Struthio camelus: one gene and its partners. The protein of the gene in region 2 purifies or fractionates together with the protein of the main gene of each other region. This does not show direct contact. Links are inferred from orthologs where the notes say so. Each region holds a gene or a part of one and is shown on either strand. Other genes may lie near its edges.

What was found. The genes of interacting proteins can lie anywhere in the genome.
Region 1: the proteins of FAF2 (region 2) and PEX19 purify together in Homo sapiens (affinity purification with mass spectrometry; 4 studies listed by BioGRID and IntAct, counting the BioPlex papers as one, with this or other methods). This does not show direct contact. The link is inferred for Struthio camelus from reciprocal best matches to the Homo sapiens genes FAF2 and PEX19.
Region 3: the proteins of FAF2 (region 2) and UBL4A purify together in Homo sapiens (affinity purification with mass spectrometry; 3 studies listed by BioGRID and IntAct, with this or other methods). This does not show direct contact. The link is inferred for Struthio camelus from reciprocal best matches to the Homo sapiens genes FAF2 and UBL4A.

What each region holds. Positions count from the first base shown.
Region 1 is NC_090971.1:621,032-629,076, reverse strand, and holds the start of PEX19 (peroxisomal biogenesis factor 19), read left to right. Parts: upstream 1-5,022; 5' UTR 5,023-5,090; coding exon 5,091-5,145; intron 5,146-6,040; coding exon 6,041-6,141; intron 6,142-6,374; coding exon 6,375-6,540; intron 6,541-8,045. Other genes in the region: Fc receptor-like protein 4, read right to left, coding at 1,422-1,516, 1,779-1,783. UniProt on the Homo sapiens protein: Necessary for early peroxisomal biogenesis. Acts both as a cytosolic chaperone and as an import receptor for peroxisomal membrane proteins (PMPs).
Region 2 is NC_090954.1:10,069,397-10,076,996, reverse strand, and holds the start of FAF2 (FAS-associated factor 2), read left to right. Parts: upstream 1-4,575; 5' UTR 4,576-5,247; coding exon 5,248-5,310; intron 5,311-7,600. Other genes in the region: CLTB (clathrin light chain B), read right to left, coding at 1-77, 1,563-1,609, 3,878-4,169. UniProt on the Homo sapiens protein: Plays an important role in endoplasmic reticulum-associated degradation (ERAD) that mediates ubiquitin-dependent degradation of misfolded endoplasmic reticulum proteins.
Region 3 is NC_090979.1:62,940-70,277, reverse strand, and holds the start of UBL4A (ubiquitin-like protein 4A), read left to right. Parts: upstream 1-4,315; 5' UTR 4,316-4,440; coding exon 4,441-4,488; intron 4,489-6,531; coding exon 6,532-6,637; intron 6,638-6,713; coding exon 6,714-6,931; intron 6,932-7,338. Other genes in the region: PLXNA3 (plexin-A3), read left to right, coding at 647-797, 1,881-1,976; EKC/KEOPS complex subunit LAGE3, read right to left, coding at 2,457-2,571, 3,187-3,315, 4,159-4,190. UniProt on the Homo sapiens protein: As part of a cytosolic protein quality control complex, the BAG6/BAT3 complex, maintains misfolded and hydrophobic patches-containing proteins in a soluble state and participates in their proper delivery to the endoplasmic reticulum or alternatively can promote their sorting to the proteasome where they undergo degradation.

The DNA.
Region 1 (8,045 bases), on a different chromosome or scaffold from region 2:
CCCCACAGTGCCCGTCCCCATGTCCCCATATCCCCAGCCCCATGGCCACCCCAGCCCCATGGTGCCTGTCCCCATATCCCCAGCCCCATGGCCACCCCACCCCACAGTGCCCGTCCCCATGTCCCCATGTCCCCAGCCCCATGGCCACCCCAGCCCCATGGTGCCTGTCCCCATATCCCCAGCCCCATGGCCAACCCAGCCCCACAGTGCCCGTCCCCATGTCCCCATATCCCCAGCCCCATGGCCACCCCAGCCCCTCCGTGCCTGTCCCCATATCCGCATGTCCCCAGCCCCATGGTCACCCCTAGCCCCATGGTGCCTGTCCCCATATCCCCAGCCCCATGGCCACCCCAGCCCCATGCCCACACCCGTGCCTGTCTCCTCATCCATATAGCTTCAGCCCCATGGCCACCCCGGTCCCTCAGTGCCCATCCCCATGTCCCCGTATCCCCAGCCCCATGGCCACCCCAGCCCTACGGTGCCCATCCCCATGTCCCCAGCCCCACAGTGCCTGTCCCCACAGCCCCACGGCCCCAGCCCCGTGGCCACCCCAGCCCCCCCCACCGGTCCCCAGCCCCCCCAGCCCCACGTCCCCGCGCGAGCCCAGCCAGCCCGGAGCACCATCTGCCGGGCCTGCTCTTCCGGAGTTTGGGAGGAAATTTCTCCAAATCACACCAGTTTGGGCTGGATGGGCCAGATCCAGCCCGGGCTTGTAGCCTCCCCTGGGGCAGGCGCGGAGCCCGCTGCTGCGGTTTTCCCGGCTGCAGCTACTTCCCGCCCGGTGCCGGTGCCACGCGCCCCCGACGGAGGCCGCACGTGGCCGCCTCGCCGCGCGCCGGCCCCGCTTCTCCCCGGCCCCCGAGCCGGGGTCGGCACGGCTCGCCGCCCCGCCGGCCCGCTCCGCTCGGGGCTCGTCTGCCCGCCGGCGGCGCGGGAGAGGGGGCAGCCCGGGCGCCCGACCGCGGGCAGGGCAGCCGGGAACGGCCAGACCCCGACTCCGGCTTTGCGCCCAGCAGGCAGCCACAGCCCCTCTCCGAGCGCGGAGGGGAGGGGGCTGCCGGAGGGGCCGCGGGGCAGGGGGGCTGGGGCCCCGGCCCTGCGCCCAGCTCCTCTTTGCAGCCTCCTCGCCGCCTCGGCACCTAAGCGCCGGCTCCGCCGGGTGGCACCGCGTCCCGTTTGCGCCTCGAGCTTGTGCCCGGGGACGGGGAAGGCCGGCGAGGGGACGAGGAGGCCAGAAGGAGAGCGCGCTCACCGCCGCCGCGGCGCTCGGGACCGCCAGCGGGCTGGTGCGGCGGCGAGGTGCGGGAGCAGGGTTTCCGCCCGCGCTCTCCTCTCCAGCACCCGTCGCCCCGCGGGCGCGCGTGGCCCCGCCGGACGCCTCGTCTCCCCCGGCCTCCGGCCCCGATCCCGCCAGGACTTACCCCAGAGGAGCAGAGCCGCGCTCCTCGCCATCCCGGCCGGCTCCGACTCGCCCGGCCGGCTGCTGACGCTGGGCCACCTCCCCTTTGCATAACTGCTATTTGGAGAAAAGGAAAAGGAAGTGGCTTGTGCTCCCCCCCCTGGGGCATTTCCCCCATCCTCAGTGGCCAGGACAACACAGCGAGCAGCACCCAGGGGCTCGGGATGGGCCTTTGTGGGTGCCAGCTGCTTGTCGCCACCGAGCCGGCGCAGAGATGTGGCTGGCGGCAGCAGGGGGCCGGGTGCTCAGGTCTTCCCGCACGTGGCCAGCATTGAGCCAAGGGGCGACAGGAGCCGACAGAGGGTTTGGAGCTGCTAACCCCATCTCCGGGCTGGGCAGCTGGGCGAAACGGTCTCTGAGTGATGCAGCACCTCTTGGACAGGTTCCCAGCACCGGCTCTGCCGGGTCGTGCGCAGTGACCGTAACATGTCCTCTGTCACCCACGTGTGTCTGATCACTTGCAGATGCTTTGATAAGCAAATGATCTGGTGAGAACTGAAGCGAGCTGTGTTGTGCAGCCCCCGATTCTCAGCAAACAGTGAAAAAGAAGGAGAGCCCCCAGGCTCCCCCTCTGCGGTTCCCGCGGCTGCCCCTGGGGCCAGCGGGGACAGTCACCCCGTGGGACACGGGTGCACGGGCAGACAGCCTGACCGTGCTGCTGGAGGGGTCAATCCAGTCTCTTTTCTTTGCTCAGCAGGTTTATTGGAAGCAGACAGCTCGCCCTGCTCGCAGCCCTCGCTGCGGCTCCGCAGCACAGGGCATGGAGCGATCCAGGGCTTGCCACCCCGTCCTTGCAGGCTCCAGTACCTCTTTTTCAGGCTAATACTTTGCAACAGGTTAATATAGATACCGTATACCTATGCAATGGGTTACTGTGTATCAGATATACCTATGCAACAGGTTATTGTATAAAGAATATATATATGCAATGGGTTATTATATTAACATATGTGAGAAAGCTGAGGGTCCGGTTGGAGCCGTGTGTTTCCTGAGCACCTCTGAAAGCCGCTGCCGGTCGGTGTTTCTCGCTAAGCCGTAGACGCGTGGCCGGGTGGTGATGGCGGGTCGACAGGCGGCGAGCGCAGAAGTCTGGCAGGGGTAGGGGAAAAAAAGCAAACGAGGTTTTAAACCAAACGTTTCCCCCCCGAAGGGAAAGGGCGGCAGCCGGAAGGGGAGGGAAGGGCTCCTGCGGCAGCACTGCCCCAACGCGACGCATCTGCGGAGGGGGTTTTGCCCATCCGCTTCAGAGCAGCAACCGCTTCACACGTGTGCATCGCTGCTGCAGGTGCTCCCTTGTTTTTTGAAGGAGCCGATGTGTCTAGAGCCAGTAAAAAGCTAAATGCATGGTACGCCGCAGGGTAAAGTCACACAAATTTCCGTCGGTGGCGTGGGGCCAAGGTCACAGCCTGGGTTTTGTTCCGTGAGAGTGCAAACACACACGAGCGTGCATGCTCACACATGCGGTGCCCGAGGGAGCCGCTTACCTCGCCGCTACCAGCAGCAGCGGGGCAGGAGGAAACCAAGGGCGGCAGCGACGAAGACCGGGCTCATCCTCGGGTGCCAGCGGCAGGAGGCCGATCGGCCTGGCCCTGGGGAGAGAGCGCGGCCGTCACGGGGGACCTCTCCGGGGAGGGGACGGGAGGTCTCCGTGGTGGCCCCTCACCTCCTCTGGTGCCCGTCGAGGAGCAGCCTGGAGTCGACGAGCAGCTGTCCCCGGCGGTCCCGTTGTCCTTGGGTACCTGCACCCCGGGGCCCTTCGTTGGGAGCCCCGAGGGCATTTGAGCAGGGGGACAAAGTGGGGGTCAGGGTAAGCGAAGGACTCAAAGCCAGGGGCTTATGTGCCCCCCAGCTTTTCCAAGGATTAACTCCATCCTCTGCCTCTCCTCCAGCCAGGGCAGAGGTGCCGGGGAGAGGGGAAAGGACGGGGGAGCCCCAGCCCGGTGACACCCACTGCCACGGCGCTCAGCACCCAGCCAGCCCCAACCTACGGGGGGGAGGTGGTCCCACGGCGGCGGGAAGAGGGCCGGGGGGCTCTCGAGGGACGAAGTCAAGCCCTGGCTGCTGTACGACAGGTACACGCAGGAATAGGCGCCGGGCAGCGCCCTGTCTTCGATGGTGGGCGACGAGGCGTTCCTGAAGTTCTTCTTGGGGCCCTGGGGCTGTGACCGCCAGTAAAATCGGTACATGGTCACGGACGAGGTGATGGGAGCCAGGCACCGCAGGGTGACGAGCTTGTCCTGGCTGGAGCCGTGCAGGCTGAAGTGCGATGGGAGGATGCTCAGGAAAGGGGCTGGCAGGAGGTCTGCAAGGGAAAGGCTCCGGGCAGCGGGGCGGGCGGGCGGGCGAGCGGCTCCCCGCGGCGGACGGCACCCTCCTTACCTGCGGGGTGCCCGGGCTGCGGCAGGGTCTGGAGCCAGGCTGCGGAGAGACGGGGGGAGCGGTGAGAGCTCGGCGGCACCACGAAGGGCCGCTTTGGGCCGGGCGGGGAGCGGGATGGCACTTACTCAGCAGAGGCAGGAGCAGAGCGAGAGCCATGGCGAGCGGAGTGGCGCTGGGTAGAGCTCGAGCATCCCAGCCCGAGACCTCTTCCCGCACCTTTTCTTGGAGGGGAAGGAAAGGTCCTTCCCCTGCGGTCCCCGCGGCAGGGAGACAAAGGCAGGAAACGCCACAGCCCACCCCGCTGGGCTTCCTCTCCCCCAGGAAGCCCACGGGGCAGGCCCGGCCCAGCGAGGGCAACCCACCGCAGCCCCGAGCAGCGGCAGCCGCGGGCAGCCGTGATGGGCACAGCTGGGCACAGCTGGGCACAGCTTGCCAGGCCCCGGCAGCTGCTGTGGGGACGTGCTCCCCCCGTCCTGCCAGCCCCCCCGGCTCCCCCCGGGGCCGGCGGGAGCGGCTTCGCCAGCCGGGGGGACGCGGCTGCCCGGGTGCCCGGTTCACGGGGGGATGCGGCTCCCTGGGGCTCCCCAGTTCGGGGGGGGACGTGGCTTTGCCGTTCACAGGGGATGCGGCGCCCCGGTGCCCGGGGGGGGACGCGGCTGCCCGGCTCACGGGCTGCCCGGGGATGGGGGGGGGGGGGGGACGCGGCTGCCCGGCTCACGGGCTGCCCGGGGTTGGGGGGGGGGACGCGGCTGCCCGGCTCACGGGCTGCCCGGGGATGGGGGGGGGGGACGCGGCTGCCCGGCTCACGGGCTGCCCGGGGATGGGGGGGGGGGGGGGGGGGACGCGGCTGCCCGGCTCACGGGCTGCCCGGGGATGGGGGGGGGGGACGCGGCTGCCCGGCTCACGGGCGCCCCGGTGCCCGGGGTGGGGGGGGGGGGGGACGCGGCTGCCCGGCTCACGGGCTGCCCGGGGATGGGGGGGGGTTGGGGGGGGGGGACACCGCGAAGCCCCTCGCGGCGCGGCGCGGCCCGGCCGGAGCCCCGCGCTGCAGCTCCGCGCGGCGCCGCCAGGGGGCAGCGGGGCGTCCTGGCCGGGAGCGCGCTGCGGCGCCGCCTGGGGGGCGCTCGCGGAACGGCGTGGGGCGGGGCGTGGGGCGGGGCGTGGGGCGGGGCGTGGGGCGGGGCGTGGGGCCTCAGGGGCGGAGCTTGCTAGGCCGGGCCCCGCCCTCCGGCGGAGGCGGAGCGGCGCGAAGATGGCGGCGGAGCCGGGCCCGGGCCCGGACCAGGAGCTGGACGAGTTGCTCGACAGTGAGCGGGGCCGGGGCAGCGCCCGGGCCGGGGGGAGCCTAGGGCTGGGGGGGTGGTCGGGGGGGGCAGCAGCGGGGCCGGGGGGGGAGGTGGTCGTGGGGGGGGCAGCAGCGGGGCCGGGGGGGGGTGGTCGGGGGCGGCAGCAGCGGGGCCGGGGGGGGGTGGTCGGGGGGGGGCAGCAGCAGCAGGGCCCGGGGGGGTGGTCGTGGGGGGGGCAGCAGCGGGGCCGGGGGGGGTGGTTGGAGGGAGCAGCGGGGCCGGGGGGGGGTGGTTGGAGGGAGCAGCGGGCCCGGGGGGGGGGGTGGTCGGGGGCAGCAGCAGCGGGGCCGGGGGGGGGTGGTCGGGGGCAGCAGCAGCGGGGCCGGGGGGGGGTGGTCGGGGGCAGCAGCAGCGGGGCCGGGGGGGGTGGTCGGGGGCAGCAGCAGCGGGGCCGGGGGGGGTGGTCGGGGGCAACAGCAGCGGGGCCGGGGGGGGGTGGTCGGGGGCAGCAGCAGCGGGGCCGGGGGGGGGTGGTCGGGGGCAGCAGCGGGGCCGGGGGGGGGGTGGTCGGGGGCAGCAGCGGGGCCGGGGGGGGTGGTCGGGGGCAGCAGCGGGGCCGGGGGGGGGGTGGTCGGGGGCAGCAGCGGGGCCGGGGGGGGTGGTCGGGGGCAGCAGCGGCCCGCACCCCACAGCAACTTTCTGCTGCCCCAAGAGCGGTGGTGCCATGCCCCGGGGCTGGGAGACCTCCCCTCGCCTGTCCCACAGGCATCCCACCCCGATGCTGCCTGGGGCCAGGAGTTTCAGGGTCAACCCCTGCTTGGGGTGCTACAAGCCGGGACCCCCCGTCCCTGCCCCTTGTCGCACCGTCCTCGGCCGGATCCCCGCTTACCTGGCCCGGCCCCGCTCCTGTCCCCAGGTGCCCTCGACGACTTCGAGAAGGCCAGGCCCACCGCCCCACCGCCGCCTGCCCCCACAGACCCTGGCCACTCCGAAAAGTCTCCCAGCGATGCAGCCAAGGTGCGACGCCATCAGGACGTGGCCTCCCTCTGCCGCTGCCGGCTTGCCGGGGCTGGAGGAGCTGGGCAAGGGGGGGAAGAGCCCTGTTGCAGGGCTGTTTTTGCCACGGGCCAGTATTTGCCCTCTGCGAGGTTGGAAAGCAGCATCTCCTGGGGCTGCTCTGTCGCTGCCAGCTGCAGCCCTTCCAGGCATCCAGAGCAGGGCACAGCTCTGACTGTGCCCGTTTCCCTCAGGAATCACTCTTCGCCTCCCAGGAGAAGTTTTTCCAGGATTTGTTTGACAGCGAACTGGCCTCGCAGGCCACAGCGGAGTTTGAGAAAGCCATGAAGGAGCTGGCTGAGGAGGAGCCGCACTTGGTGGAGCAGTTTCAGAAGCTGTCAGAGGCAGCAGGCAGAGTCGGTGAGTGGTGCTGAGCCCCTGTGCGTGCAGGGAGTAGGTGCTGGGCTGTGGGCAGCCCACAGCTGCCATTGAGAACCCGATTCTCCTCTGCCGGGGAGAGGCTTTCTGTGGATAACTCTTACCCCACCTGGGTCCTGGGAGCCCCTCGGCCTGCAGTGATCCCAGCTGAAGCCAACTTTGCAAAGGGAGCTTCCCTCAGGATTTGGCCTCTCTGCCTTTCTCCTTCGACTGTCCTCTTAGTCCCTATGGAAGAGGAGATCCCACCTTAACCCAGCTGTGGAGCATCCCCTTGGAGCCTGCTCATCCTAAATCCCCGCCACGCAGAGGTAATCTGCGTGACATGGATTCCTCAGGAGAAGTTTGGGCTCAATCGGAACGTCGTCTTGTCATGATTAGCACTGGGGGTATATGGAGAAGTGGATGTGAAAGCAAGATCCTTCCTCCGCCTTTCCTTAGCAGCCTTCTCAGCTATGCTGGAAGGCTGGTAACAAGTTGTGTGTCACTGGGATGTCTGACTGCAATTAGAAGCACCGTGGAGCCACTTGGGGCTTAATTATGCTCCCTTAATTAGATTGGGTTTACTCCAGGAGTGTTGAAAAGCACTTGCAGGACGGTCATGCGTGGACCTGTGCAGCTGCCAAAGTCGCTCGTGGGCTCCCTGGGAAGGAGATGCATGTCAGTGCATGTCAACATGCCAATGTCACTCACTGAGAGCTTTCCCCCGTGCCCGGGACGTGGCAGGCTGGACGCAGTCAGCCTCTTAGTGGATTTAAAGCAAGCAGCGAACCCCTCAGTTAGTGGACCACAGGTCCAACGCTCAGTTGGTTTCACCACTACGAGGCTTGTTTCAACCTGGTGAACTCTTCAGGTAGCGCAAGACCGGTTTAAAAATAAATCCTGCCTTGCCAGGCTTACGCTGACATCCACATTGGCCCCAGCAGCCGTTCCCAGGGTCGAGGTCTCGGCTCGCAGCCAACTCTGCTGCTGGCTGGGCCAGGAGTCTGTTACCAAGGGCACGGGCAGAGCAGCACATGCTGCCCGAGGGTAAGATTTCCTGGCTCCGTGTGCCAGGGTTTGGCATGCTGGACTCTGGGATGTCGTCTGTGTGCCGTGGTAGCAGTTGGATTGCCCTGCCCTGCCGCCTAGCACTGCACCATGAGCTAAAGGGCAGAAGATCCTTCTTGGCCCCTTGGGATGGTTGAGCAATCGCTGTTGTCACCGGTTGTGCAGGGCAGAGGTTTGTTTGGTAACAGACAGGACAAAGTGTGCCTTCACAGGAGGGGATGCATGAACGTGGCTCTCGGAGGGCATCAGCAGCTGGCGTTTCTTCAGTGTGGACTGTGGAGAGCTCCCAGAGGACTTTCCACAGACTTGGGCAGGGAAGGTCTTAATTTAACTCTGGGCAGGTCAGTGTTTCAGTTTCCCTAGGAGTCCTGCCGTGACCGAATCTGAGGCTGTTTTCTTTCTCTGGCCATTGGACAACGCAGGATGAAGTCACCCCTGGG
Region 2 (7,600 bases):
CGGATGCTCTCAGGCTCCTGGGTCAGCCGGTCAGCCTTGGCTATGGCTGCATAAGCATCTGTGGGGCCGTTGGACTCCTGCAGGACACAATTGCCTCACTGTCAGCGTCAGCTTCTCCTACAGCCCAGCTCAGCCACCTCTAAGGGCTGACACCGCAGGACAGGGCTCTGCGTTCCCATCACTGAGAAAGGCTGAAATGGGTGGCAGGGATAGTGACTACCCTCCACACACCAGCCCAGGGCATCCAGCATAGTGTCCCCACAGCACTGCTCAAGCTGCCATCCCAGTTCCCAGCCCTGGGGCCCAGGCCCCGCCAGATGGCAGGACTCACCAGCCCCCCTCTCCGTGGCTGGCTGCTCGCTGCGAACATGACGCCCACGTTCTTTGCGCGCCCCACGGCAGAGAATGGCCAGGTAGCTTTGTGACATCGTGCCCACAACCACATGGCCTCACTGTGAGGTCACAGCGCTGGGCTTTCACAGCTCTGACTCGGGGCAGAGGCAGGAGAGGTAGGGCAACCCCAAGAATTAGCATCATCACAGGTCTGGCAGTTTGGCCACCGCAGACTGAAAGAGCCCAGGCGAGCAGCAGGGCCCAAGGGAGGCACCACTCTGCCTGGAGACCCGCCTGCAGGCAAAACCTCCCTCGCTCCTCGGAGCAAGCTGCCCTCTATAGCTCCCGCCAAGCCCAGCATCCTGCTCTGCCCACATCAGCATCTCTCCTAACCCCTACTGCTGGTCAGGATGCCCAGCCCCACTCTAAGCTCAGGGATGGGATTACAGCTCTCCTCCAAGATCCCCAAATCTAATTAAGTCTGTCCCATCTCTGATGTGATTATCATCCCATAAACTAAGCACGGGCAATGCACATGCCACAGCACTTGGTAGCGAGTGGAACGAAAAGCTCGTCAGCTTCTGGCACTGCTTCCCCTGTCGCCACCGCAGCAGGGCTTGGGGCTCCCAGAAGGGGCTGAGACCCAGGCAGGAGGCCCCCTGACACACCCTTAGCCATGAGGCATGCGGGTTTAAGGAGAGATGCTGCCGGGGCTCTATAGCAAGACCACTGCCGTGCACCAGCAAAGGGGGTTCCCCACAGCAACCCTGTCCTGTCTCCAGACTCTGCCAAGAGATGTTCCCTACTGCCCTAGAGGCCTCCAGGAGCCAGGCTAGAGAGAGGGGGCCTTTGGAGAATGGAGGATTTCTCCAGGCTTTTCATCTGCTCTTAGGATCCAGGCACTCCTTCAGGGCACAGCCCACCTGCAAACAGATTTGGAGCAAGTTGGGGCACAGTTGGAAGAGGATCAGGCTGGTTCTGCCAGTCCCAAAACTTCTAACTCCCAGCCCTGGGCCATGGTAGGGGGGACAAGACTTTCACACAGAGGTGAGAACAGAGCAGTCAGAACTCCCTCACATGAGACCCAGATTTTCCCAGGAGCACCACAGCTGTTCCAGGCTGGACAGCAAAGTCCAACCAATCCTGCAGACAGGGCACCGGAGTGCTGGCCCCGTACCCACCTAATCTCCCTTGGCAACACCAGCCAGGGCAAGGGGCTGAGCTCTCACCTGAAAGACATCTCCATTGACAGTGGCTCCTCCATTCTGGAAACCAGCTAGAGAGGAAGAGAAAAACAGCTATGGCAGCTGCAGGTGACCCCACAGGGGCTGGTGTTCATGAACCAGCGGCAAGTCGGTTCAAGAAGGACGTGACTTTGCTGTTTCCAACCCAGCACACCAATCCACAACAGCCCTCCATACATGAGGCAGAGACGGAAGACCTCCAGGCTGGCCAGAACAATGGACACCAGCTGAGCCACATCAGAGCTCAAACAGAAGCCAGCAAGGTCTCTGCGTTCAGAGGACGTCACGTTCCCAGCCCAATCGGCTCTGCCTGCTCCCAACAGGGCCCCAAATCCCCCCCTTTCCAAAACAGAGCAGAGCATGGCAGCACAGCCCACCCTGCCTGCCCCAGGCCCCAGTACCCTCGCCCCACACTGCCTACTGATGCCAGCAAGGGGAAGGGGAAGTGCACTGTCTGCACTGGTGTCCAGAGCCAATAACCCAGCAAACCCTCCCTGCGCTGCTGCTGTATGGTACCTGGGGTCTCCTTCCACCCGTGAGAGGGCTCAGGGCTGCGTCCAGTGGTCTCCTGTCCCTGGTGGAATTCAGCCAGCACCTCTCCTTCCTAGAGGAATCTCCCTGAGCATTTATGTCTTTATGGTGTTTTCACTGGTGTTTTATCTTATCTGGAGATTAGGGTGACTGTTTAAGGCACGGGACTGGACAAAGATAGATACTTTGACTGCACCGAGACAACCTGAGCAAATCTGAACCTGCAAATGGCCAGGCAGAGGATGCCTGTGGACATGGACTGGTGACCCCACAGCTGTCAGCTGAGTCTCCAGCAATCTCCAGCCAGCAAAGGCAGAGCTGTTTTGAGCCTGTGACAGGAAGGCAAACCTGCCAGGAACGGAGCCCACAGAGACACTGCAGTGCACTCTGCGAGCAAGGAGGAGGGCAGGCACGCATACCGAGGTCCTCAAGAACCTGTCTGGGGAATGCACGCAATTCCCTGGGGTTGGGAACGAGGCACTGCTGATGCCCATGGCTGCAGTACATCCCCACCTCCTTCCCAGCACCAGAGAACTTCCTGAGAGCTGCACACCAGGGCCACAAGACCAGCCCCATGGGGGCTCTCTGTTGCTGTGCAGAGAAGAGGCTTCGCAGGAGGCAGACTCCAGGCCCTGAGCTCTCATCAACGAGGGCCAGGCCAGCCAGGGGCACAGACAGCCACACAGTGACAGCACAGCTCTGGAGCAGCTCAGACAAGCACTCTCCCTATAGCACTGGTCCTACAGCTCCGGCTACACCCAGCTTCAGCCTGTCTGACTGCATTTACTGCCACAGCTGCCAACGCCTCTCTGGGCTCCAGAACCGGCTCCATGGCCCTGCTTCTGGGGTGGTGAAACACCACCCCGCAGCCAGCACGGGAGGGCCCTGCAGGCCTGCCAGGGGAAGGAGCCAAGAGGACTGTGGCAGCAGTGGGGCCCAAATGGAGGCATGAGATCCGGATTAGCACCTTATACCTCCAGGGGCTGAGACACTGATGTCCCCGCTGGAAATGCCTTCCATTTTGCATGCCAAAGCACTCTCCGGTCTTTGGGCCAGTGAAGGGGCTGCCCAGCCCCATATGGATGGCTCACTGTCCCCTAATCCCACCTGGATCCCCTTCACCCTGCTCCAGCCAGAGGGACTGAGACGTGGGGGAAAGGGAGGGTGTCCAGCCTGGGGAACCTAGCCTGACCATACAAAGAAAGAATCATTCCACAGCAGGCAAGCCCAAGCTCAAGGGTCATGCCAAAACCTGAGGTTCAAGGAGAGGGAACCCCAAGCCCTGGGGAGCCAAGCACAGCCCCCCGGAGAATCATGACGGGGATGCAGATGTGGGGCACAGGGGGGTCCCCACTGCCTGCCCACTGGGAGTGCAGCACAGACCCAGCACACGGGGGGTTCCCATCACCCACTGAGGGTACCGTGCAGCCTGCAGGGGACCCCAAATCAGCAACCACCAGGGGTGCAGCCCGGGACTGACCCCACTCTGTGCCCATGGGAGTGCAGATCGGGGAGGGGGGTGCCCCCCCACCCCTTCTCCTTCAGGGAGCAGCCTGTGGGGATCCCCTCTGTGCCCTCAGTGGGGCAGCCCAGGGACGGATCCTCCTTTACATCCATGAGGGGTGCAGCCCGGGGGGAACCCTCCCCTCGGGGCCTTCGGGGGAGCAGCCCAGGGCCGGATCCTCCTGCCTTGAGGACCGCAGCCCGGAGGCGCGCCCCCGCCGGCAGTGCAGCCGGGAGGACCCCGCGGCCCCCGGCGCGGCGCTCACCCGGTTCCGGCGGGGCCGGGGCCGAGGCCGGGGCCCCTTCGCCGTCGGTCGGCCCGAAGCCCTCGTCGTTCTCGATGCCCGCGATCGCGCTCTCCTGCTGGGCCAGGAAGTCGGCGGCCGGGTCCTCCTCGGCGGCGGCGCCCTCGGACGAGGAGAAGAAGCCGAAGTCGTCGGCCATGGCGCCCCCCCGCGCTCCCGCTGCGGCTGCAGGCGCGGCGCGGCCCGACTGGGCCCGGGCGTAGCTGTCACTGCGGCGGCGGCGGCGGGGGGGGGGGGCGGCGCCGCCTGACATCAGCGGCGGGGCGGGCCAGGCGGGGCCGCGCCCGCGCACCGGGCCCGCGGGGCCCCCAGCCCGGCACCCCCCGGCGCAGGGAGAGCCGGGCTGCCCTGCTGCCCCACCGGCGGGTTTCCCTCCGGCCGCCGTGTGGGCACACGCAGGCGGGGGCGCCCCATGTGCCCGGCAAACGGCACACCACCCCCCCCCCCCACCGCCGCCGGGCGCCCTGCCCAAGCGGGGCCCTGGTGCCCCGCGTCCTGCTCCTTATCCGCCTGCCACCACCTTGTCGCGGTGCTGCCCCGGCCGCTGCCGGAGCCCCCGCGAGCCTGACGCGGTCCCGGCGCGGCCCCTACGGCCGGGCACTGGGGCGCGGGCTCTCCGGGTCGCCCCACTCCCCCCCCCCCCGCCGCCCGTGGCTGCATCGGCCCTAGCCACGTGCTCGCTTTTAGCCCTTTTCATTTTGAACGCGGGGCCGGGCTCCACCGCGGCCCTGGAGCTGGCGGGACGGCGCAGAGGGCGCCCTCCGCCTCCGCCATCTTGGCTGGGGACCCCCCCCTCGTCCGCCATCTTGGGTGGGGCCGTTGCCTGTGGGTGGGGGTCCTCAGAGAACTGGAGGTGCTTGGACAACACCCGCCGGCGGCTGCGGGACCACCTCGGTGACTGGCCGACAAGCCAGCGCCGCGTGGGCTCCGGCCTGCGAGTTCTGCCACGGTCCCCCCGCCTCCCCCGGCGACCCGCGGCCGCCAGCCCTGGGCACAGCCACGGAGCAGGCCTGAGGCGGCCGCCGCCCTCGGCCGTGTCCGGAAATGCCCGAGCGGCTTTCGGAACTCTTCGTGTGCCAATCGGGAGCGCCCGAGCGGGTCGGGCCTGCGAGCCCTTCGGACGCGGTTCGGGCATCTCCGGCGGTCTCCGAGAGCGTTTCGGCCATCTCCGGAACGCGGCCGAGTATTTCCGGCTGTGGCCGAGTAAGCGGCCGTTGGCTCGCCAGTCGCGCCTGCGCGGGCGCGCGTGCCAGGAGAGCCGGGGCGGAAGTGCTGGTGGGCGACGTCACTTCCGGAGAGTGACGGAGCGGCGGGTCAGAGGCGGCAGGAAGATGGCGGCGCCTGAGGAGCGGGAGCTGACGGCGGAGCAGACCGAGAAGCTGCTGCAGTTCCAGGTGCCGCGCCGGGGGGGCACCGGGCCGCGCCGGGAGGCAGCGGCGGGGCGGCTGGGCTAGCCTGCGGGGCTGGGGTCCTGCTGGCCTGCCGCGGGCCGGGGGGCACGGGGCGCCCGGAGAGCCGCTGCAGGCCCCGCCCGGAGCGGGCCCGTGTGGGAGAGGGGCGGGGGAGGAGAGTCCTGTAGGTCTGGCCCGGGTGGGGGCGAGGGGGCCGCTTCCTGGTAGGGCACGGCCCCCACTGGCGTGGGGGTCCCGCCGGTGCGGGGCTGGCACTGCTCGGGCTGCCCCGGGCCGCCGCCCGCCTCGCTGAGGGTCAGTCGGCGCTCTGCGTGCTCCTGGCATTTCATGAGGAATGGTGCCTGTCAACGTTAATTCGGAAGGCAGGAAGCGACTGGTGAATAAACCCCATTACCTCTGCGTAGGGGAAACTTCTCGGTCTGTTCCAGCCATTTTAATTATCTAGTGTGAAAAATTCCCCTTGTTGTTACTGGTGAAAGGAAAACCCTTCCTGTTATGTGAGGAGGACTGGCCAGCGGGTTTCTATACAATGCGGTTTCTCACAAAATTGTTCCTAACCCTCAAGGTTGGGTAATAGCTGTTGGGGGAAGGCCACTGGGGCTAGTAATGATCTAATCTTGCTATCTGCTGCATAGCATGGGCTGGGTGACGTAACCTTTGGTTTGCCAAGTCCATGGGGCTGTGCAGCAGTCAGATAATTTAAAAAAAAATGCAGATTTTTCTTATTAGAAAAGTGTGCTGCAGTCAGAGTTGAAATACTTTGGGCTGCTCGGTGAAAGGTAATTAAACTATTACTGATGAATGAAAATTGTGGTCAGGTGTCTTGGGTTTGTTTTTGAATTGTAGGGCATTGCAGAGACTTTCTTGGACTTTTTTTTCCTGCAACAAAAGTAATCTTTTCTTTCAAGAGTTTTGTTTAATTTTTGTTCCTTCATGTTCAGTTTATCTTAAGAACATGCTTTGCTTTTTTTGATGCAATATAACTGTAGAATTACAGAGCTTAGAGGTATTTCAAAAGCATCCAGTCCTGCCTCCTACTACTGAGCTAGGTCATTTCAGACAGATATTTGCCTAGCCTTTCTATTTGACACCTCTGAACAAGGGGATTCAACCATCTCCTGAAGTAATACACTGCAGCGTTTCTCCATGGTTGACTTCTTGCTGATACGACATCTGAATGTATACTGCAAATTAAGCTGATTGGGCAGTTTTAATTTACAGTCAAATGTTCATGAATAGCTTTAACAATTTCTTTCCCAGTGCTACTGTTTTCCTGGTAAGTGTGTGAGCTTCAAGACGCTGACTTGTGCTGCATATTATTGCTAACGTATATGTAAAAATCGACTTTTGGGTCTATTTTCCTCAATGTTAGATATCGCAGTACTTAGTCATCTGCTGAATCTGGATAGATAGGATCAGCTGCACTTATTAGTTTCACTGCTGCTATTTTCAAAGCCCTGTGGGCAGCAGTGAAACTGTATGGAATTGTGTCTGTTTCCTAATGCTACCTCTGTTACTGCTGTGAGTAGCAGGCTAGGGCGCTGGAGGCTCCTGAGAAAGGAGGGAGAAGGACTCAAAAGGAGGGCTGTATGTGTTAGTCCAGCTTTCTTGTGAGCTCTAGTTTGAAATGGAGGGAGAGGGCAGAGGAAGAAGTCCCTTAGAAAAAGGGAGAAGCTTTAAGGTTAAGACAGCTGTTGTCCAGAGCTTGATATGAAAGAGAGAATCTAGAAGGCTTCAATACCAGGATCCTCTCATTCATGTACAGCCTAGGGTACACAGGATTAGCATTTCACCAGGGTTGTGCTAAGGACCTACTTCACTGGTGATGTCCATCTCCTGTGTTATCTTTATACCTGGCTGGAAGGGCTCGGGCATGCGGTCCTGCTTGTTGTGCTGGAACGAGAGTAAATCAGTCCATCTGGAACAGCTTTTGTTTCCTTTAGCTCTCTGAGAAACTCTGGATTCTTTTAAATAGCATGCGCTTGGAGAAGACTTATGTCTTGCTAAAGTCATCTGTACATTGCTATTGTTGCAGAGCACACTTACAGTTGGAAAACTGCAAACCTTCCAGGGATTCTCACCCTCTTGGCAGGGGGCGCTTCTTGTATGCTTTCTAAGGTTGCTTTACGCTTTCATTGTGACACACCATCATAAAAAGTAATTTTTGCAATATTCTGCAGCCACAAAGCATTGTGTTTCCACAGAAGTCATACCACTACAATGTAAATAAAGTGGGAGAATAGATTAGGAGGGAGGACAGTGTGGATAACTA
Region 3 (7,338 bases), on a different chromosome or scaffold from region 2:
GCCTACCGCGCCTGGGTCGAGAGGTGGGGACGTGGGGACACATTGGGGACACCGCGGGGACCTGGGCCTGCCCGCCTAGTGCGCCTGGGTCGAGAGGTGGGGACGTGGGGACACACTGGGGACACTGCGGGGACCTGGGCCTGCCCGCCTAGTGCGCCTGGGTCGAGAGGTGGGGACGTGGGGACACTGCGGGGACACTGCGGGGACCTGGGCCTGCCCGCCTAGTGCGCCTGGGTCGAGAGGTGGGGACATGGGGACACATTGGGGACACCGCGGGGACCTGGGCCTGCCCGCCTAGTGCGCCTGGGTCGAGAGGTGGGGACGTGGGGACATTGGGAGGACAGGGGAGCACAGGGCTGCCTGCCTGTCACATCCGGGGGGGGGGGGGCACTGGGGACATGGAGGGGGGCATGGGACCTGTGCACCCACCATGCCTGGATCAAGAGGTGGGGACATGGGACGGGGGGACATCAGGGACATTGCTGGGGGGCACATGGCACTGCTGGCCCTCCTGAGTCCCTCCTCACCCACGGGTGGTTGGGGGGGGGGGATTTGGGGTGCCCACAGCCCTCCAGGAGTTGGCAGGCTTGGAAGGGTTTGGGGGGGGGGTCCCGGCTGCCCCCCAGGAGCTGTGGGGCGCCCCCAGGTACTACCGGGCCGTGGGGCGGCTGGCGCCCATCAGCGAGGGGGAGATGGACGCCTTCCTGGCCGAGCAGTCGCGGCTCCACGCTGGCGAGTTCGACACGCTGGGGGCTCTGGGGGGGCTCTACCAGTACGTGGGGCGCTACCGCGATGAGGTGGGTCCTCCCAGTAACCCCCAGTACAGCCCAGTCCCCCCCCACCAGAGCTGCAGTAACTGAGGCTTACCATTCATTCCCCCCCTGAAATGGTACAGGCCAGTGGGACCCCCCCCCATTACAAATATTGGTACAATCCAGTAGATTCCCCCCAATAATGGTATGATCCATTGGGAGGTTACCCCCCAATAATAGTTCGGTCCATTGGTTCCCCCCCCCATGATAATAGCCATGATAACAGCAGTCGAGTAGTGCCCCCTCCCCAAATAATAATGGTATGCACCAATGGACCCCCCCCATTACAAATAATGATAGAATCCAGTAGGAACCCCCTTTAATGGTACAATGGTACAATCCATTAAGTTCCCCTATCATGGTATGGTCCAGTGGGGTTTTTTTCCCCCCCCCAAGGTTTTGCAGAATGGTACTGCCCAGTAGACCCCCCCCCCAATCAAAGAGATGAGGGAGTCAAGGGAAAGTTCCCCCCCCAATTAATGGTATAGTCCAGTGGGCAAAACAGTAATGGTGGGACCCGATCGATGATTCCCCTGCTCCATAGTAATGGTATGGCCCAATGGGCCCATTCCTCCAAAATAGTAGAGTCCAGTCTGCACACCTCCCCAGCTGATAATGGTATGCTCCACTAGCTCCCTGTCCTTTCACTGGTACACTCCAGCCCCCCCCAGCTGATAGTGGCACCGCCCAATAACAGCCCCCCCCCCCCAAATAGTACGTTCAGGCCCCCCCCAGCTGATAATGGCATGGCCCAATAGCAGCCCCCCCCCACCCCAAAATAATGGTATGTTCCAGTCCACCCCCTCACTGATAATGGCATGGTCCAGTAGCAGATTATCCTCCAACAACGGAATGGTCGAGGGCCCTCACCCCCCCCAGCTGAAAAACACCCCGATAGTGGTATGGTCCGGGAGCACCTCCCCCCCCCCAAACTAGTATGTTCTAGTGTCCCCCCCCCACAGATAATGGGATGGTCTGGTAGCAACTACTTCCCCCCCCCGTAATGGTACACTCCAGTAGCGGGTCACCCCCCCCCCCGCAGTGGTGTGACCCCCCCCCCCCCCGCAGGTGCTGGCGGCGCTGGAGCGCGACGCCGGGTGCCGGCAGCAGCGGCTGCGGCAGCGCCTGGAGCAGGTCCTGGCCCTGCTCGGGCCCCCGGCCTGACCCCCCCCGGGGGCCGGGACCCCCCCCGGCCCCGCCCGCCCCCCCCCCCCCGGGCGCGGTGCCTTATTTATTGTGTCTGTGCCCCCCCCCCCATGTTCGTTAACTTGGTGTCGCGCATTAAAGTGCTCCCCTCCCCCAAAAACACAGCAGCCTCCCGCGGGCTTTATTTCGCGGCACGACCCCCCCCCCCCGGCAGCTTGGGGTGGGGGGGGGGCAGGTCCGGGGGGGTCTCACTGGGGGGGCCCCAGTTTGGGGGGAAACCCCCAATCGCTCAGGGTCCTCCCCGCCGAGCCCCAGCCTGGGGGGGGGTGTCCCATTTTGGGGGGGGGGTCCCCAGTCCGGGGGGGTCCCCGTTGGGGGGGGTCTCAGTCCGGGGGGGTCCCCAGTCCGGGGGGGTCCCCGTTGGGGGGGGTCTCAGTCCGGGGGGGTCTCAGTCCGGGGGGGTCCCCAGTCCGGGGGGGTCCCCGTTGGGGGTGCCGGCTAGCGGGGCCGGGGGGGCCCGAAGCGCTCCATGGTCTCCACCACCAGCTCCAGGTGCTCCAGGAAGGAGCCGACGGCCACGCGCAGGCTCCGCGCCTCCGGGGCCCACCACCGCCTGCGGGGGGGGGGGGAGCTGCCGCGGCCCCCCACAGCCCCAACCTGCCCCGAACCCCCCCAGCGCCCCCTCCTGCCCCACGACCCCCATCCTGCCCCATGACCCCCCCATCCTGCCCCCTGCACCTCCTCCTGCCCCCAAACTGCCCCCATGACCCCCCATCCTGCCCCCACTGCCCCCTCCTGCCCCCAAACTGCCCCCATGACCCCCCATCCTGCCCCCACTGCCCCCTCCTGCCCCCAAACTGCCCCCATGACCCCCCCATCCTGCCCCATGACCCCCCATCCTGCCCCCAGCGCCCCCTCCTGCCCCCAAACTGTCCCCTGCACCCCCCATCCTGCCCCCTGCACCCCTCCTGCCCCCAAACTGCCCCATGACCCCCCATCCTGCCCCCTGCACCCCCTCCTCACCTTCCACCCCCTCCCCAAACTGGCCCAATGACCCCCCTGCTGCCCCCAAACTGCCCCATGACTCCCCCATCCTGCCCCCTGCACCCCCTCCTGCCCCCAGCGCCCCCTCCTGCCCCCAAACTGCCCCCATGGACCCCCCACTCTTTTCCCATTCCTGCCCCCCACCCCGCCGTGCCCCAAATCGCCCCCGGCGCCCCCCGCTCACGCCTGCAGGTGGGGGCCGTCCAGGGCCAGGTCCCGGCGGACGCCCCCCCGGCGGGGCTGGGCGTCGGGGGCCAGGGAGCCGTGGGCGATCTGCGCCTCCAGCGCCGACGGGAAGGGCACGCTCAGCCGGCTGGCCGCTAAGGAAGCGCCCCGCGCCCCCCCCGGGGCCCCCCCCAATTCCACCGCTAAACCTCCCTCCCCGGCCCACGATTCCCCCCACTTCCCTCCCTACAGCCCCCCCCCAAACCCCATCGCTCTCCTCGCTGCCCCCCCCAATTCTCCCTTCAGACCCCCCAAACCCCCTCTCAGCCCCTCCCCATACGCCCTTAAGCTCTCTGATCCCCAGAGGCCCCCCAGTATCTCCCAGTTCCCTCCCTGGGCTCCCAATTCCCCCCCCAGGCACCCTAAACCTCCCCTGGGCCCCCAACTCCCCCCCCGTGACCCCTCAGTTCCCTTCCAAGGCCGCCCAGCCTGCTCCCCAGTGCCCCCCTCTAGGCCCCCCCCAGTACCTCCCAGTTCCCTCCTTTGGCCCCCCCAGTTCCCCCTCTAGGCACCCCAATGCCTCCCTCTGCCCCCCCAGTCCCTCCCCCAGTGCCCCCTCTGCTTCTCCAGCCCCCCAATTCCCTCCCAGCCCCCCCCGGACCCCCATAACCCCTCAGAGCCCCTCCAAAGCCCCCTGACCCCCCCAGCCCTCCACTGCCCCCTCTGCCCACCCCACTGCTGCCCCTGTCCCTCTTTAAGCCCCCCAGGCCCCTCCCAGCCCCACAACTCCCCCTCTAGCCACCCTGATCCCTCTCTGGGACACCCAATCCCCCCCCAGCGCCCCCAGGGCTCCTCCATTTTCTCTCCAGCCCCCCAGCTCCCTCCCAGCCCCCCCATAACCCCTCAGAGCCCCTTCAGCGCCCCCTCCTCGGCTCCCAGCCCCCCCGGTGCCCCCCGGACCCCCAGCGCCCCCCGCCCCGGGCCAGGATACAACTCCAGCCCGTCTCGCGCCTCCGCCGCCATCGCGCCGACCGCTGGCGACGTCACAGGCCCCGCCTCCCCCTCCGCCCGGCGCCGCTCTGGCCCCGCCTCGATGGGCGGGAGGGGGCGGGGAAGGGAGCGAGTGGGCCGCTCTGGCCAGCCGGTCCTCCAGGCGGGGCCGTTAGGGGGCGGCGCTACGGTGGCCGCGCGGCGAGGCGCTCTAGCCGCGGCGCTCGCTGGTGGCCGTTAAAGGGCCCGCGGCCCCCGCGGCGGCGGCGCTCCCGCTCCCGCCATGCTGCTCACGGTGAAGGCGCTGCAGGGGCGGGAGTGCAGCCTCCAGGTACCGGGGGGACGGACGGCGGCCTCGGAGGGTCACGCAGGGGACGGCGCCGGGGGAGGGGGGAGGTACGGGTGCTGGGGCGGGCCATGGGGAGCGGCGGGGGCGGGGTACGGGGCCCGGCGGGGGTCACAAGAGGGGAGAAAGCGGAGCGATGGGGCTGGCGGGGGGGCGGCCTCGGCCGGGGGGGCCGGGGGGGGTCTGGGTAAGGGCTCCCCCCCTTACTGGGGGGCTAGTTTGGGGGGCTCAGGGGGTCCCCCCTTGCTGGGGGGGGGTTGAGGGACTCCCCTATTGCTGGGGGGGGTGGTTTGGGGGGGTCAGTGACTCCCCTTGGGGGGGGCTGGTTTGGGGGGGGCTAGGGGCTCCCTTTGCAAGGGGGGGCTGGTTTGGGGGGGCTCAGTGACCCCCCTTGCAGGGGGGGCTGGTTTGGGGGGGGGCTCGGGGGCTCAGGGGTTCCCTTTGCAAGGGGGGGCTGGTTTGGGGGGGCTAGGGGCTCCCTTTGCAAGGGGGGGCTGGTTTGGGGGGGCTCAGTGACCCCCCTTGCAGGGGGGGCTGGTTTGGGGGGGGCTAGGGGCTCCCCTTGCACAGGAGGGCTGGCTTGGGGGGGCTCAGTGACCCCCCTTGCAGGGGGGGCTGGTTTGGGGGGGCTAGGGGCTCCCTTTGCAAGGGGGGGCTGGTTTGGGGGGGGCTCAGTGACCCCCCCCTTGCAGGGGAGGCTGGTTTGGGGGGGGCTAGGGGCTCCCTTTGCAAGGGGGGGCTGGTTTGGGGGGGGCTCAGTGACCCCCCTTGCAGGGGGGGCTGGTTTGGGGGGGGCTAGGGGCTCCCTTTGCAAGGGGGGGGCTGGTTTGGGGGGGCTAGGGGCTCCCTTTGCAAGGGGGGGCTGGTTTGGGGGGGGGCTCGGGGGCTCCCTTTGCAAGGGGGGGGCTGGTTTGGGGGGGCTAGGGGCTCCCTTTGCAAGGGGGGGCTGGTTTGGGGGGGGCTCAGTGACCCCCCTTGCAGGGGGGGCTGGTTTGGGGGGGGGCTCGGGGGCTCAGGGGTTCCCTTTGCAAGGGGGGGCTGGTTTGGGGGGGCTAGGGGCTCCCCTTGCACAGGAGGGCTGGCTTGGGGGGGCTCAGTGACCCCCCTTGCAGGGGGGGCTGGTTTGGGGGGGCTAGGGGCTCCCTTTGCAAGGGGGGGCTGGTTTGGGGGGGGCTCAGTGACCCCCCCCTTGCAGGGGAGGCTGGTTTGGGGGGGGCTAGGGGCTCCCTTTGCAAGGGGGGGCTGGTTTTGGGGGGGCTCAGTGACCCCCCTTGCAGGGGGGGCTGGTTTGGGGGGGGCTAGGGGGCTCGGGGGCTCCCTTTGCAAGGGGGGGGCTGGTTTGGGGGGGCTAGGGGCTCCCTTTGCAAGGGGGGGCTGGTTTGGGGGGGGCTCAGTGACCCCCCTTGCAGGGGGGGCTGGTTTGGGGGGGGCTAGGGGCTCCCTTTGCAGGGGGGGGCTGGTTTGGGGGGGCTAGGGGCTCCCTTTGCAAGGGGGGGCTGGTTTGGGGGGGCTCAGGGGCTCCCTTTGCAAGGGGGGGGCTGGTTTGGGGGGGCTCAGTGACCCCCCTTGCAGGGGGGGCTGGTTTGGGGGGGCTAGGGGCTCCCTTTGCAAGGGGGGGCTGGTTTGGGGGGGCTCAGGGGCTCCCTTTGCAAGGGGGGGCTGGTTTGGGGGGGCTCAGTGACCCCCCTTGCAGGGGGGGCTGGTTTGGGGGGGGCTCGGGGGCTCCCCTTGGAAGGGGGGGCTGGTTTGGGGGGGCTCAGTGACCCCCCTTGCAGGGGGGGCTGGTTTGGGGGGGGCTAGGGGCTCCCCTTGCACGGGAGGGCTGGCTTGGGGGGGCTCAGTGACCCCCCTTGCAGGGGTGGGGGACGATTTAGGGGGTTCATCCCCCCCCTTGCTAGAGGGGGGCAGGTCTGGGGGGGCTCAGGGGGAAAGGGCTGGTTGGGCAGGGGGCTCCAGGCCTGGGCGCGGGGCAGGTTGGGGGGCGGCGGCGGCGGCGGGGGGGGCAGCTCAGCACGGTGCCCCCCCCAGGTGTCCCCCGAGGAGCGGGTGGGCGCCCTGAAGCGCCTGGTGGCCGAGCAGCTCGACGTCCCCGTGGCCCAGCAGCGCCTGCTCTACCGCGGCAAGGCCCTGGCCGGTGGGTGCCGGGCCGGGGGGGCCGGGGGGGCCGGGGGTGTCACCGCGCTGTGCCGCCTGTGCCTGTCCCCCCCCAGACGAGCTGCGCCTGTCGGACTACGCCATCGGGCCCGAAGCCCGGCTGAACCTGGTGCTGAAGCCGCCGGAGCGGGCCGGGGGGGGCGAGGAGGGGGGCCGGGGCGCGGCGCCCCCCCCGGCGCCCCCCTTCCCCGCCATCTGGGCCCAGCTGGGCCGGGTGCTGGGGCGACACTTCGGGGCCGCCGACGCCGCCCGCGTCCTGGAGCAGCTGCACAAGGTGGGGGGGGGGCACGGACCGGGGGGGACAGGGACATGGGGGGGGGCACGGACGTGGGGGGAACACGGGGAGGGACACGGACCGGGGGGGGACAGGGACACGGGGGGGACACGGACGTGGGGGGAACACGGGGGGGGACACGGACGGGGGGGGGACACGGACGGGGGGGGGACACGGACGGGGGAGGCACGGGGCGGGCACGGACACGGGGGGACAGGGACACGGGGGGGACACGGACGGGGGGGGACACGGACCGGGGGGGACAGGGACACGGGGGGGACACGGACCGGGGGGGACACGGACCGGGGGGGGACACGGACCGGGGGGGACAGGGACACGGGGGGGACACGGACGGGGGGGGACACGGACCGGGGGGGACAGGGACACGGGGGGGACACGGACCGGGG